Linked DNA regions of Cricetulus griseus. The protein of the gene in region 1 binds, or shares a complex with, the protein of each later gene. Links are inferred from orthologs where the notes say so. Each region holds a gene or a part of one and is shown in the gene's direction. Other genes may lie near its edges. The genes, in order: Eif3i and Eif3e.

The links.
Region 2: Eif3i (region 1) and Eif3e share a complex: the UniProt entries of both Homo sapiens proteins name them as parts of the eukaryotic translation initiation factor 3 (eIF-3) complex. The link is inferred for Cricetulus griseus from reciprocal best matches to the Homo sapiens genes EIF3I and EIF3E.

The regions. Positions count from the first base shown.
Region 1 is NC_048595.1:23,438,647-23,445,839, forward strand, and holds the end of Eif3i (eukaryotic translation initiation factor 3 subunit I), read left to right. Parts: intron 1-566; coding exon 567-632; intron 633-1,860; coding exon 1,861-2,010; intron 2,011-2,089; coding exon 2,090-2,217; intron 2,218-3,545; coding exon 3,546-3,656; intron 3,657-3,771; coding exon 3,772-3,861; intron 3,862-4,307; coding exon 4,308-4,381; intron 4,382-5,024; coding exon 5,025-5,117; intron 5,118-5,237; coding exon 5,238-5,319; 3' UTR 5,320-5,397; downstream 5,398-7,193. UniProt on the Homo sapiens protein: Component of the eukaryotic translation initiation factor 3 (eIF-3) complex, which is required for several steps in the initiation of protein synthesis.
Region 2 is NC_048603.1:9,475,134-9,482,735, forward strand, and holds part of Eif3e (eukaryotic translation initiation factor 3 subunit E), read left to right. Parts: intron 1-2,531; coding exon 2,532-2,658; intron 2,659-3,346; coding exon 3,347-3,448; intron 3,449-4,881; coding exon 4,882-4,991; intron 4,992-7,602. UniProt on the Homo sapiens protein: Component of the eukaryotic translation initiation factor 3 (eIF-3) complex, which is required for several steps in the initiation of protein synthesis.

The DNA.
Region 1 (7,193 bases):
CTTTACTACTCAGTCCTGGGCTTGCAGGCACACCCTGTTCCTGCTGGAGATTCAAACTGAGGTCCTCTTGGTTCCACACCTAGCATTTTACCCACTGAACTGTCACTCCAACACTAATCATTTTTATTTTATTCTGTGTCTAGAAATGGCATGACTGTGTGTCTGTGTGTCTGTGTCTGTGTGTGTGTGGTGTCTGGTGCCCCCAGAGGCCAGAAGGTCATTGACCCCTGGAACTGGAATTGTGAGCCACCATATGGGGGTTGGGACTCTAACCTGGGACCTCTGGGAGAATAGCCAGTGCTCTTAACCACTATGCCATTTCTTTTCTTTTCTTTTCTTTTCTTTTCTTTTTTTTTTTTTTTTTTTTTTTTGGTTTTTTGAGACAAGGTTTCCCTGTGGCTTTGGAGGCTGTCCTGGAACTAGCTCTTGTAGACCAGGCTGGACTCGAACTCACAGAGATCCACCTGCCTCTGCCTCCTGAGTGCTGGGATTAAAGGCGTGCGCCACCACTGCCCGGCTCCCACTGTGCCATTTCTTGAGCCCAAGTTTCTTAACACCTTCTTCAGGGGACACCAAGCATGTCCTTACTGGCTCAGCTGATAACAGCTGTCGTCTCTGGGATTGTGAAACAGGTAAGCCTGGGCTATCCACTTTTCAACAAGAATTGACCAGCTTCAGTGTACCTGTCTAATTAAATATGTTTTGGAGAACTAGAGATAGATGGTTTCCAGTCTATAGATTCAGAGACCTCAAACAAAACAGCCAGGAAGTCACCTGAGGAAAGAAGCTTCATGTTTAAGATAATAAGCCATTCAACTTGAAAAATAAATAAAGGTTGGGAGTGATAATGAGCTATGTTCAAGGAAGGCCACAGAGGGACAGCGGACCTCCTGAGTGGGGAATGGGTGGCCTTGGGAGGTGGGAGCTGGGGCTTTCATTGACAGCAAAGTGCTTTGTCACAAGCAAGAATGAAAGCATGGAGTGTCCGATAAAAGGCTAGGACGAGCCGTGTGTGATGGTACACACCTTATCCCAGCACTGGGAGGCTGAGGCAGGAGAATGGAAAGTTTCAGGTAGCTTGGGGGTAGGGTAGATGAAACAGGAGGCTAGAGCCAGAAAAGCCTTGAGTGTGGAAGAGAAGACCTTAATTTCACATTCTGGGATCGGGGAAGTCATTGCCTTCACTCCTGATCTCAACAGGTTCCAATGGTCATACAGGTGGTCCTGCTTAAACTAATGGGGTCACAAAACAAAACTAGAAGTCACGAACCTGGGAAATGGACTGATAGTGGTGGTGATGGGGACAAGAGGGAGAGTAATCGGGGTATATTATATACATATGTGAAATTCCCAGGCGACAAAATAATTAAAATACAAAACTGCCCGGCAGTGGTGGTGGCGCACACCTTTAATCCCAGCATTCAGGAGGCAGAGGCAGGTGAATTTCTGTGAGTTCAAGGCGGGTTACAGGACAGCCAGGACAGTTACACAGAGAAACCCTGTCTCAAAACAACAAAATAAAAAAAAACTTGGCACACTGAGGAGTCTGATGAACAGGGAAGAATAGTGGACTGGTGGGTTTGAACAAGGTCCAAGCTGTAGAAGAGCTGACAGCCAAGGGGAGGCCATTATATTATTCTCGCTACTGGGTGATTACGTCTGCTTCTATGCTGGGACACGCAGGAGAAACAGTGTGAGAGGGAGACATAGCTGGGAACACGTTACTCTCAGGGTTGGTTCATGAGGAGATGCTGTAGGAGGGAGTTTAGCCTGTCGTCCTCAGGGCAGGAATGCTGTGAGACTCGGTAGGTGAGTGCAATAACATTAGACCAGAGTAACCTAGACCCCGCCTCTCCCCAGGGAAGCAGCTGGCCCTACTGAAGACCAACTCAGCCGTCCGAACCTGTGGCTTTGACTTCGGGGGTAACATCATCATGCTCTCCACAGACAAGCAGATGGGGTACCAGTGTTCTGTGAGCTTCTTCGATCTACGGGATCCAAGCCAGATTGGTGAGGGCTAGGACTAGGGGCGCTGGGGTGGGTGGTGTGACTTCAGATCCCAGGGCCTGACCTCTGCTGCTCTACACAGACACCAATGAGCCCTACATGAAGATCCCCTGCAATGACTCCAAGATCACCAGTGCCGTCTGGGGACCCCTGGGGGAGTGCATTATTGCAGGACATGAGAGTGGTGAGCTCAACCAGTATAGCGCCAAGGTAAGGGGCCAAGTGTTGCCAGATGACATCAGGTGTGGGAAGTACTCAGGCTATGTTACAGTGGTCACAAATAAGCATCTCCTGTCACTAGAGAATCAGACAGCAGCTTAAAAACAGCCAGTACATCCGGCACTGGTGGTGAACACCTTTAATCCCAGCACTCAGAATAGAGCTGAAGTAGTTGGTATACATGAGAATGTGGAGTCCTAGACGGTCATGATTATCGCCACGGTGCACTGTGGAGGCAGAGACATCCTAGTCTACAGAGCCAGTTCCAGGACAACCAGAGCTGTTAGATAGAGAAACCCTGTCTTGAAAACAAAAAACAAAACAAAACAAAAGGAATTGGAGATATAGTAATAAAAAGGAAGGGAAAAATAATATATTTACAGACAGGTGTGGTGGTCTAGAGCTATAACACAGCTGGTGAGAGCTGGGACCAGTGAAACAGGAGAATCAAAAGTTCCAGGCTGGTGGTGCACGCCTTAAATCCCAGCACTCGGGAGGCAGAGGCAGGCGGATCTCTGTGAGTTCAAGGCCAGCCTGGTCTCCAGAGTGAGTGCCAGGACAGACTCCAAAGCTACACAGAGAAACCCTGTCTCAAAAAACCAAAAAAAAAAAAAAAAAAAATTCCAGACTTGAGGGGAGCTGAGGTGAGACACACCTTTAATCCCATTACTTGGGGGCCAATGGCAGGTGGATCTGAGTTTGAGGTCTATGTAGCCAGTTCCAGGCCAGCCGGGTAAAGGTGAAATGTTGTCTCAAAAAAAAAAAAAAAAAAAAAAAATTTCCAGGTGTGCCTATGCTACAGAGTGAGTTTAGGGCCAACCTTAGAAGTTTAGTGGAGAGAGATGCCACAGTGGTTAAGAATGTTTGCTCCTTTTGCCAAGGACCTGAGTTCTGTTCCTAGCACTACATCGGGCAGTTCACAGTTGCCTGGGACTCCAGTTCTAGGGGGATTCAGTGTTGCCTGGCCTGTGGACACTGACACATGTCCTTGGACACATATCCATACACATATTTTTTTGTTTTTTTGAGACAGGGTTTCTCTGTGTAGCCTTGAGTGTCCTGCACCTTGCTGTATAGACCAAACTGGCCTTGAACTCACAGAGATCCCCCTGCCTCCTGAATACTGAGGTTAAAGTCATGCATCAACACTGTTCAGTGTTTGAGTACTTGGGGTATTTGGGGTCGATCAATCCCAAAAATAAAGCTGGCATGGGGTTAGATTGAGGTAAGAAAGGTATAAAATGAAAAGTCTAGCTTGTCTGAAGTTTCTAGGGGAATAGTGGCTTGGGACTCCAGCAAGTCTCTTCTTCCTCCTCCAGTCTGGGGAGGTGTTGGTGAGCGTTAAGGAACACTCCCGGCAGATCAATGACATCCAGCTATCTAGAGACATGACCATGTTTGTCACCGCGTCCAAGGACAACACAGCTAAGGTCAGCCTGGGTATGGGTCTGGTGGAGCTTTGTTTGCCCCTCTGCTGCACATTCAACCAGTCTGACCTGCCCAAAAAGTTGCCCAACCCAGATTCTCCTCCTCCCTTCTCTCCAGCTCTTTGACTCCACGAGTCTTGAACATCAGAAGACTTTCCGAACAGAACGTCCCGTCAACTCGGCTGCCCTCTCTCCCAACTATGACCATGTAAGAAGACCCCACTCATGCTTCCTGCTTCTGGAGTCTGAGTATATGACCAATGCTAGGGCTGTAATTGTTGGGGAATAGTGTCAGAGAAGGGGCACCTAGGATTGTTACAGTGCTGATTGATTGGGCTTAGGGAAGTGAGCTGGGGAAACCTGACATGACTACTCATCCCTTTCTTGAGGATACTCCTGCTGTGGGTGGGAGACCTCAGCCAAGGACAGAAACCTGTAAATAAGTCCTGGTTGTACCTGAACTTTCCTTTCCTTTCCTTTCCTTTTCTTCTCTGCCCCCCCCCTTTTTTTTTCTTTTTTGGTTTTTCAAGACAGGTTTTCTCGGAACCTGTGTAGCTGGCCTCAAACTCACAGAGATCCTCCTGCCTCTGCCTCCCAAGTGCTGGGATTAAAGGCATATGCCGTCACCATCTTTCTGAACTTTCTTTTCTTTAGGTGGTGCTAGGAGGTGGCCAGGAAGCCATGGATGTGACCACAACTTCCACCAGGATTGGCAAGTTTGAAGCCAGGTAAAGGGGAAGCAAGCTCTTCCATATTGAAACCACATAAGGATTGTGACAGATGTCTAATACAGGAAATGAGGACAGCTGGGCATCTGTCTGGCTAAAGTGCCCTGCTGGCAAACCAGGTGCGTCCCTAGCACTACCATTGGGCCGTGGCCCCAAGCCTCTAACACAGTTCCAGTCACTCCAGAGATGGAAGAGCGTGAGTTTCAAAGTCATCCTTGGCCTCAGCCAACTCCTAGCTCACTTGGCTACACAGGACCCTATCTCTAAACAACAGCAGAGATCATGAACTCAGGGCCTAGATGAGCCTGTCTTTTTCTCTGTGCCTGTGATTTCCAACTGTTTAATGGCCAGAGATAGTGTACTCTCCTCAGAAATGTGTGCAGATTAAGTAAATGATTAATATTTAGTAAACTTTAGAGCACTGCCCAGTACATGCCTGGTGTTTGTTGTATATTGAAGCAGACAATTGGGCAGTCTTCCTATAACTTCATTATTTCTTTCCATCTCCTAATTTCTCTACTTTATTAATTTTGTTACGTAGAATACTGTCCTCAACAGTCTTCATTTTTTCAGAGTGCTGCCTCAAGTGTGTTTGAGGAGATGGAGACTAAATAACTGCTCTCCTACCCACCCTCTCTTCCAGGTTCTTCCATCTGGCTTTTGAAGAGGAGTTTGGAAGAGTCAAGGGCCACTTTGGACCTATCAACAGTGTTGCCTTTCATCCTGATGGCAAGAGGTATGGCCCCATTGAAGGGAGTGATCTCAGCGGCCGGGGGTCTCTGCCTGTTTGCTCTGTCTGGCTGCCCAGACTTCCCTTCTCAGCAGCATCTGATCATCACTGCCCATCTCTTAACAGCTACAGCAGCGGTGGTGAAGATGGTTACGTCCGCATCCATTACTTCGACCCGCAGTACTTTGAGTTTGAGTTTGAGGCCTGAAGCTGGATCTCCATCCACCGGGGAGGCTGCTCAAGAGGGTTTTAGACTCTTTAGAAATAAATTAGTTTGGTAAAAATAGTTTCTGGTCAGCCATTTTGCACAGCTTGTCAGGTTCTCCTGCTTCACTGACCCTCTGCTGGCTGAAAGTAATAGGAATACTTTGTTCTGCAGGCTTTCTCTCTGCACCCAGACTCTGCATTGCTCTGGGCTAGCCTGTGTAGCTGGCACTTTTCATCCACCACGGTCAAGAAGCCGCTGCCTAAGAAAGGGCTCAGGCTGATGCATGCTATAGTCTGAGAACCTTCCCTCTTCCTTTTCTGTGGATTTGATGGCTCGGGTGAGCGGGGCCAACTGGACCAGCACAGAAAAGGGGCTGAGGAAACAGAAAGGTAAGGAAGCCCAGCAGGGAGAGAATTCTCCAGGGGAATGCTTAGGGCTTACCTCACCATAGGCTCAGGCTCTGGGGCTCCACAGAAAGCAATGTGGCTAAGGAGTTGAAGAGTAGTTGAACTGAAGGTGGCTCTCAGTTCTAGCACCCACGTTGGGCAACTCAGAACTACCAGTAACCTCAGTTTAATCCCTAGGACCCAGGTGGAAGAGAATCAGCACCTGAGAGCTGTCTGCTGACCTTCGGGTGCCATGACACCTGTGCCTATATACACACCACACACTATAAATATATGTGTAGTGTTTTTGCCTGGTGCCCATGAAGGCCAGAAGAGGATATCAGATCCTCTGGAACTGGAGTTAGACAGTTGTGGGTTACTGTGGATGCTAGAAACCAAACCCAGGTCTTGGGCAAGAGCAGGAACTACTCTAACACTGGACTGTCCACAACCCCTAAATGTATTTCTTTGGGTCTTTGTTTGTTCTGAGACGGGGTCTCTATGTAACCCAAGCTGTCTTGAAAGTCACTATGTAGAACAGGCTGGCCTCAAGCTCTGCGTGCCTCTGCTCCCCAAGTGGTGGGAGTGTACATCACCACAAATGGCTAAAAGTGGCTTTATTATAGTCCTGGGGATTGAGCCTGAGCTTGTGTGTGCTAGGCAAGCCCTCCAGCCCTGGCTTGGTTTGTAGTGCTGAACATGAACACAGTAGTTCTTAGAAAAGAAAGCCTTAATTCCTTACAGTTTCAGAGGTGTAGTCCATTGTCATGGCTAGGACCATGGTGGCAGCCAAGCAGACATGGTGCTGGGGAAGGAGTTGGGAGGTGGGAGTCAGCAGACAGCAGGAAGAGAGCCATTGGTCTTGGAATGAGCTTTTTGAAAGACCTTTCTCAATGCTCACAGCCAGTGACACTTCCTCCAACACAGTCACACCTCCTAATCTTTATAAACGGTGCCATTCCCTGGTGATAAAGCATCCAAACCCATGAGCCTATGGGGGCCATTGTCATTCTGATCACCTCAGCCATGAGCTACATCCCCAGCATGTAATCCTTATTTCTAAGGTGCACTTGTTCTTGTCTGTGAGTAGAATATGTGGCAGACCGTCTTTCTGGGTTTGCAGAAGTTGAAGAGACACGTGACACAGGGAAGGGCACTCATGTTTTCTGAAAGAAGCTCTTGGGAAGGAGAAGTGAGCATAGAGTGGGTCTCTGCCTGTCTCTGGCCCTCTTCATGCTGACATCTCTTCACTGTTGTAGAAGAAGATGCCAAAGAATCAGGAATAGGTTATGTTCAAGCATTGCCAATAGCAGCCCCTCCCTAAATTGCACCAGCCATAGGAACTGGAAACTTAACTGCTCCTGGGCATGGGAAGTCAAGTAGGCATAGCCTAGCCGGAAGGTGTGGCCAGTCAGGTCAGGGAGAAGCAGTGGGCATCAGGAAATGGTTTCTGGGTAGAAGGGATGGGCTAGATTTAGTTGACCAGTG
Region 2 (7,602 bases), on another chromosome or scaffold:
TTTAAAGTTTTCACTATGTTACTGAGATTCTCTATGGGCCGCAAGTTTGCCTAAAACTTGATTATCCTTCAAGTCACAGATGCAGACCACAAATTTACTCTTCCAGATGTAAGGATACATGTATGGATATAAGTACATGGATGAATTTTCTGATTAGTTAGTTGCTTCGTTAGCCAAGTTAGAAAAATCATTTACCAGCAGGGATTGGGTTGTTTTTTTTTGTTTTGTTTTTTGTTTGTTTGTTTTGTTTTAGCAGCCAAAGACACAAACCCCAGAACAAGTGACCTTGTTTGGAACTAGAGTGGCTGCTGAGGAGATGGTTCTGGGCACTTGGTATCACTTGAGCTATAGCTGCCCTTGGGCTCCTGTCGTCTCACACTGCATGACGTGGAGATTCACTTCTGCAGTCCCATTTTCAGTCTGGGATTTCAAAGTCAAAGAGTGCTTTCATGTAGAGTCACAAGTCCCCTTCAGACTCACATTGCCGTTCTAGACCGTCACAGACCTCATTGCAGGCACATATTTCTAAATTCTAAAGTCCCGTATTTCTAACTTCATTCCACTCCACTCAATTGGAAGTGATGAATCGATAATGTAGTCGCATGCAAAGAAGTGGAATCAAGACAGTTTAATTGATTATGTCAGCAATAAAGTGCTCCCATATGCTTGTCAATTGATACCAGTGGTTAAAGTGTCTGAAATGAAAAGGTATTCTTAGACACTACACAGAAGAATTGGGGTTGTAGCTTAGTGGTAGAGCTACGGCTTTGCATAGCTTTTGTAAGACCCTGCATTTGAACCCTGACATTGCAAACTCTCCCCCAAATGACTAAATATTAAATATTTGAAAATCTTACCATAGGCCAGCATAAACCAGTAAACATTTTTAAATGTGTGATAAATTAAAAAAAAAATTTTCTTTTTTTTTTTTTTCAAGATGGTCTCGTTGAGCTTACCCTGCCCTAGAACTTGTTTATTGCCTAAGGGCAGCTTGAACACCTGGTTCTGTGCATCCCACTGCCCAGTGGTGTGCACTGTCATGCCCAGCTCATTTGCAGTCAGTTTTCATAAGCACTTCTGAATTTGAACCCAGTCTTATCCCCAGTGAAGGAATTCCACTTGTCTTATTATTTGTACTTTTAAAACATGAACTCTCAAATGCTCTATCTTGTGTTTTGTCAGTAAACTGTTCTAGAAATTTGACTTCTCTTTAAGTAAGTACCTGTGTACTCCTGGTTCTTCACAACTCTTCTTGTCAGTTTCTGTGAATACCTGTATTCACATTATCGCAAGGTTGTGGCTGACCAGGATGTGAAAACACTGTGTAGTGACAGAAATTAAAAGAAAACCAGTGTAGCCTCATCTGATAAATTTTAGATAAATTTTTAGCATCTTCCACAAATGCTTAACTGAAGAGATCCACTTCAAACCTGATACAAGACAGAATGTCGCACAAACTATTGTTTGACATGGGCATCGCACCAGGCCGCTGGACCCCGGGCCGGGCTTGTGAAGATGCAGTTCTCAGCTGCTACATAGGGTTCTCGGCCTAGAAGCTGGGTTCCTTAGGGTGCTGTTGTTTCACCTCATCTTAATCTGGGGCATTTAGGAGAGGGCAGGTGTTACTAAATTCTAAAGTCCCGAAGGAGTTGATAGGAATCTGTAATGCAGTGATGTATGTGTGTATGTGCACATGCCATAGTCTAGGAGAGCATGGAAGTTAAAATATTAAAAAGCTGCCTGGAAGTTCATCTTCTGAGAAGTTAGAACAATTTCTATGGAGTCAGCTATGTAGAGGGGGCCTGGATCGATTCTTTAGAACTTGAATGTATACCTTTGAGAAATAACTTACAGACAGATAATTCTGAACTCAGCATCATACGTGCCTGAGGAAAGTATTCGGGTACCACACATTGGATCTGTATAAGCAAATTGTTCAGGAGAAATGCAGTGAGTTAGAGGGTTGTCTTCAGTCAATAGTAGCAGGATTTGGTAAATCAGAGCTGAGACCCCATAAACTGAGACCTCAATTTATTCCTGGTTTCCATGATTGCCACTGCTGCAGATGGAATCCAAGCCATAATGGATGTAATAATGTCCTCATTGTTTTACTCTTAGAATCAGCAAAATTATTTAATTTGTGTAAGAGCCCAGTTTCCTCCACTTGCACATACAAAGTTTCACTCTTTTGTTCCATGCAGAGGGAAAGTCATCACTATTTCCAGCTATTGGAGTAAAGTGATAATGTATCTAATAGTGTATCTGTTCCGCAATAGTAGCAACATACTTAGATTCTTCAGTGAGGCTTCCAGCTCACTGGCATTTGGCAATAGTGATGAGATTCCCATCCTGTTAAGTGGATTCTGCTTATTTTATACGTGTCTATTCCCTTGTAATAGTTATTCTTAAATGTTTGTAATATTTGGCTAAACAATGTAGTCAGATGTTTCCTTTAATTCACACTGAATTATATACATTGAAAGTTGTGGGAGTTTAGTGACTATCAAGTAACTGTTGTATTTGGACCTTAGGTACCTTAACGCAATCCAGACAATGTGTCCACATATTCTTCGCTATTTGACCACTGCTGTCATAACAAACAAAGATGTGCGGAAACGCCGGCAAGTTCTGAAAGATCTGGTGAAAGTTATTCAACAGGTAAAACTCAGCACCGTGAAGCACTAAAACGTCAAGTGTACTCTTCTAAAGTCAGACTCTGGGGTCTTAGGTGAAAGCATGTGGCGTGGAAGGGAAGTTAGAAGAGAGCCGAGCCCTGAGCCTTTACTTTGTACATTCCCAGTATTTACATGACATATGTGACATGAGTGAGTGATTGTGCCTTCTTAAGACTCAGCTTGCTGGAGCTCACAGGGGTGGCTGGGAGAGTTGTCACTGCACAGCACAGTGGGGACCTTTTTATAGACTATAGAGCAGCCGTCCATCAGGTGGACAGAGCCACTGCTGGTTGATTTCAAATTGAACTGCTCAGAAAAACAAACACACACAGCCCAAGGAATCTCTTTAACTTAAAAATGCATTGATACAAAGCAGTGATTGTTACAGCAGAGTTATTATATCTTCATAGCTGGAAAAATTCTCCATTGTTCATTGACTAAAGGAGACTATTAGATTTGAAAACTGTTGGAATAATTCTAAGGTGAGAGTTTAGAGACTTTGATTTGGACAATACTACAAATTTACTGTGTTACAGGTACTTTGAGAAGATGACATTGGATTATTGGCTGTGAATTCATGATAAGAGGACTAGGAGATGGGTGTGCTTTATAGGCAGTGTGCTTAACAGTGCTCAGCGAGACCTAACTGGACATTTGACTTGATTTTGCAGGAGTCTTACACATACAAAGACCCAATTACAGAATTTGTTGAATGCTTGTATGTTAACTTTGACTTTGATGGGGCTCAGAAAAAGCTGAGGGAATGTGAATCCGTAAGTATGAATTTTACTAAGCAGCTTACATTCTTCAGTTTCTAGACGTGATAATGAAGTAGCTGAAATAGGAGGAAGCTAAATGGCAGATTATTGGTAGAAGGACGTCGTGTAGTTAGCATTGCCTCCTTTGCTTAGGAAAGTTAAAGCAGCAGCTGTTTTGAATGCATCTTGGTCTCTGTGAATCTTTGTTTTTCTCATCTGGTTCACGAGTCCATATGTATCACAGCTTTAACTCTTATGTTTGGAGTTACTTTTAGAATTTTTAAGTGATTGTATTGAACACTTCCTAAAATACTCAACCATTGTAGTTATGAATTTTATACTTAATCTTTTCTATTGTTTTTGGTTGACAATAAAGTTATTTCAGAGACAGTCTGGAACTTGATACATAGACCAAACTGTCAGGGGACTCAGAGATCCATCCACCTGCCTCTGCCTCCCAAGTGTTGGCATTAAAGGCCTGCACCATCACCCTGCTGCTGTTTTGTGTGTGTTTTGTTTCATTTTCTGAGAGCTTTCCCTTTGTAATGTTGTGGGCAGGCATGGGGAAGACAGAAGACAACTTGGTGGGTGGGGTCTGTTTTGTCATTTCCGCATTGCCTGGTTCCAGGGTTCTAACATGGCTCTTAGGCGTACATGCCGTGCCTCACCCGCTGAGCCATCTCCAGGACTTTGCCACATCTAGTTACTTAAGTGATTAGTTCATATTCACAACATATTTTAGGGTTGAGTGAGATTGGGTGAATACACAGTTTGCTATCTATCTTAAGCTGGCCTTAGGCCCTTGATCTTTGTCCCTTAGTTTGTTGAGTGCTGGGCTTGTAGGTGTTCAACACCATGCTCATCTAGTTTCATCTTTTAAAATCAAATTTTGGGGAAAAGTATCCAATTTAACTAGGATCTTGTTTCTCTAAGGAAAAATGTAAATATATATTGTGGTAGTTTCTGAGTATTAGTCAACATAGAAAACTAAAATCTAGCTTGATAATTTGTATGCTTAGAACTATGTGAAAGTTACACATTGCTGTTGAAATAATCACTTTTAGTTATTACTTACTGTCTTTGAAATAGGAGCCATGCCTTGCACTGTTCTATTTGTCTTGCGTTGCAGAAAGTTCATGTCCTTAGTCCGTTCCTTCCTTTAAGTAGCTAGAGCATGTTGGACAAAACAAAGCATGACAGGAAGTTGCTCTGTTATTTCAAATCATCAAGGAGCCACTAAGGCTTCTTGGAGGTTTTCTTCCATCATTCTTTAACTACTTGTTTAAATAATTAAGGACTTGAACATGAGCAATATTCTGGAAAGTGCTATGCTATAGGATTTTTTAGATAGATTATAGTGAATAGAGCAGTAAAGTAGGCAAAGTGAGTCAAGTTTTTAAAAAGAGTTGTCAGTGTCATTAATTTTTAAATATATTTTATGTATATAGGTGCTTGTGAATGACTTCTTCTTGGTGGCTTGTCTTGAGGACTTCATTGAAAATGCCCGTCTCTTCATATTTGAAACTTTTTGTCGTATCCACCAGTGTATCAGCATTAAGTAAGAATACTCAGATTGGATATATATTATCTACCTTTATAGTCTCTGGAAATCGCCATTTATTATAATGTTACATGTAACAAAATTTCAGTTCATTCCATTTTTATTTATCTTTGCTTTTAGAAGAAAAAGAAAATTTGCTACTAACGTGAAATTTTTAATGTTTGAATTTTGAGAACTCTTTAGTCTTTGTGTGGTAGAATATGATTTCTGCAAGTGACAAGTTGAAGGTGTAAACTTTGAGTTACCTTTTTAAAGAGTGACTAGTGTACCGAGATGAGGGGATATTTAAGATGGTTTTCAGCAGTAGGTCAGATGAGTTAGCCCTTAGTAAATGGGAAATTTTGTTGTAAGACCACTACATTTGGTAATAATTTCTGTTAATTAAGTTTGTTTATTTAATTACATATTTGAATTCTCATATAGTAAGCTCCTGTGACATCCTAAAATGTTGAAACATGGAAAGCTTGTGGTGAATTTTAGTTGAAAGTTTCTCTGTTGTGTGAGAAAATAATTGGGAAAATTGTGAAATGAACATGACCTATTAGAAACTAATTTCATATATTAGGCTTTTAAAATTATGAGTGCACTTTGGCCAGAGATGAAGTCAAATATAAAACATAAGAACTTAGTACTTTTAATGTTTGCCTCTGAGGAATTTTGTGTAAACCAAATTTTGTTTCTTAATGCCATTTGTTTTTGGTAGGAGATCTATCCATACTTGCCTAATTTTAGTGGGATGTCCTTGAAGTGGTTGTGTAGAGTTGGTAGTATAGTGTGATCACTGGGCCTTTCTTACTGGGATTAGGACTTTGTTGTAGTTTGCAGACATGCTTTTTAAAATTGGTTTTCTTCCTAGTCTTAGTATACAATTGATGTATGATTAAAAAGGCAGGCCCATCACTTACGGACTGACTGACAGTAGATACCTGAACTATATTGTTTTGAAGATTTGTAGTTTGGGCTTCTCTGTGAGACAGAAATGCTTAGTATTTTGGTATCCATTCATAGTTTTCTCCATTCCCTCATAGGCTGTGTTTGTTGTCTTGTGTTTGGGATTGATTTGTTTTGTTTGCACGTATGTTTGACTAGAACTGCTTTAACTGCTCCTTTGTTTATAGCAAATTTAGTACAAATCTTTGTAGTGAATGTATGTATTCCGAACATTTTATGTCATAAGGCTTCTTTGTATTTTGCTTCTGAGGTATCATGGACAAGGAATTTGTAATAATTCTAGCTCTTTACATTTACAAATTGCTATTTGAGTTTATTATTTTGTTTCTTAGAATTGAGTTTACTGTGTTCATGTGTAGCCTGGTGGTAATAACAGACTAGGACTGTCTCTGAATGTTTATGGTTTTATGTGGGTTGCTTGGCTTGCTTTTTTCTACTGCTGGGATCCAACTAGGACCTTGTAATTGTTAGGCAAGCCCTGACCACTGACTGACCTGTGCACAGAGTTTTCCCATTTGTCTGATACACATTGTACTTTTTCTTGGATCACTTTTCTTTTCTGCTAGACTGTAAAGAATCTTAAACTAAATTTCTAGAGGCATTCCAAAGGCCTGGGGTCCTCTAGTCCTCGTGTTGCATTTACTTGAGGTTGTTTAAACTTTTTTTGTGCCAGCCTTAGCAGATTAAAAGTACAAAAAAATGAGCAATTTAAGGAATATGTAGATGTGAATTATTTTTCTTCAAAACAGTAGATGAGTTCAGGCATATTCAGGTTGGTATGATGTTTTCAGATATTAAATGTTTTGAGCTGCAAGAACTCTTAGAAAAATCTGTTAATCTAATACTGCTCAGCTGTAGAAAAGTTTTGTCTTTACAGTAGATGAGTGTCAAAGAACGTAGACGTTCCTGTAGTGGTGGAGGATGTGTTTTATGTCTTCATTGTTCGTCCTGGGGCACTTGCAGCGTGACATGCATTTTTAGTTGTAGAACCAGGGCTTTCAGAGGTCTGCACGGGAGCAGTTTGGCCTTCTGTCACTCGTGTGTATGCTGTTTTGTTACACATTTTTCCTGGCGTTTCTTTGGAACCCCAAGACTGCTAGAAATTTTACTCTGTGCGCCCCTTGTACTTAACTGGAAGCCTTATGGTTTTCTATCATCCAGCTGCTGCCTAGATCACCCTGTGTTATCCGGCTTAGGCTGGAAAGCCTACACTGTACCGTTCTCACTATGAATTGTTTGTTGTGAACAGTTTATATTCTTAGAAATAATCTTTATATAAATTGTTTAGAATACTAGTTGAGCTGAAGAGTAAACATGAGATCCATGTCAGTTTTTAATTATGTATCGCACAATCCTTAGTTGTGTTCACCACACGCAGATGAGATGGATGGCAGGGCTGTCAGCTCTGCCTTGAGGGTCGGCTGTCTCACATCATAGTCAGAACTCAAATACTCAGATCCCGTCACATCTCTTTAGAGGTGATAGGCCAGAATCATTTTTTAGCCATGCAAAATACATCTCCTTTGAGTAATTAAGTGATAGACCAGTGTCTTTTTTTTTTTTTTTTTTTTTTTTTTTTGGTTTTTCGAGACAGGGTTTCTCTGTGTAGCTTTGGAGCCTATCCTGGCGCCCGATCTGGAGACCAGGCTGGCCTCGA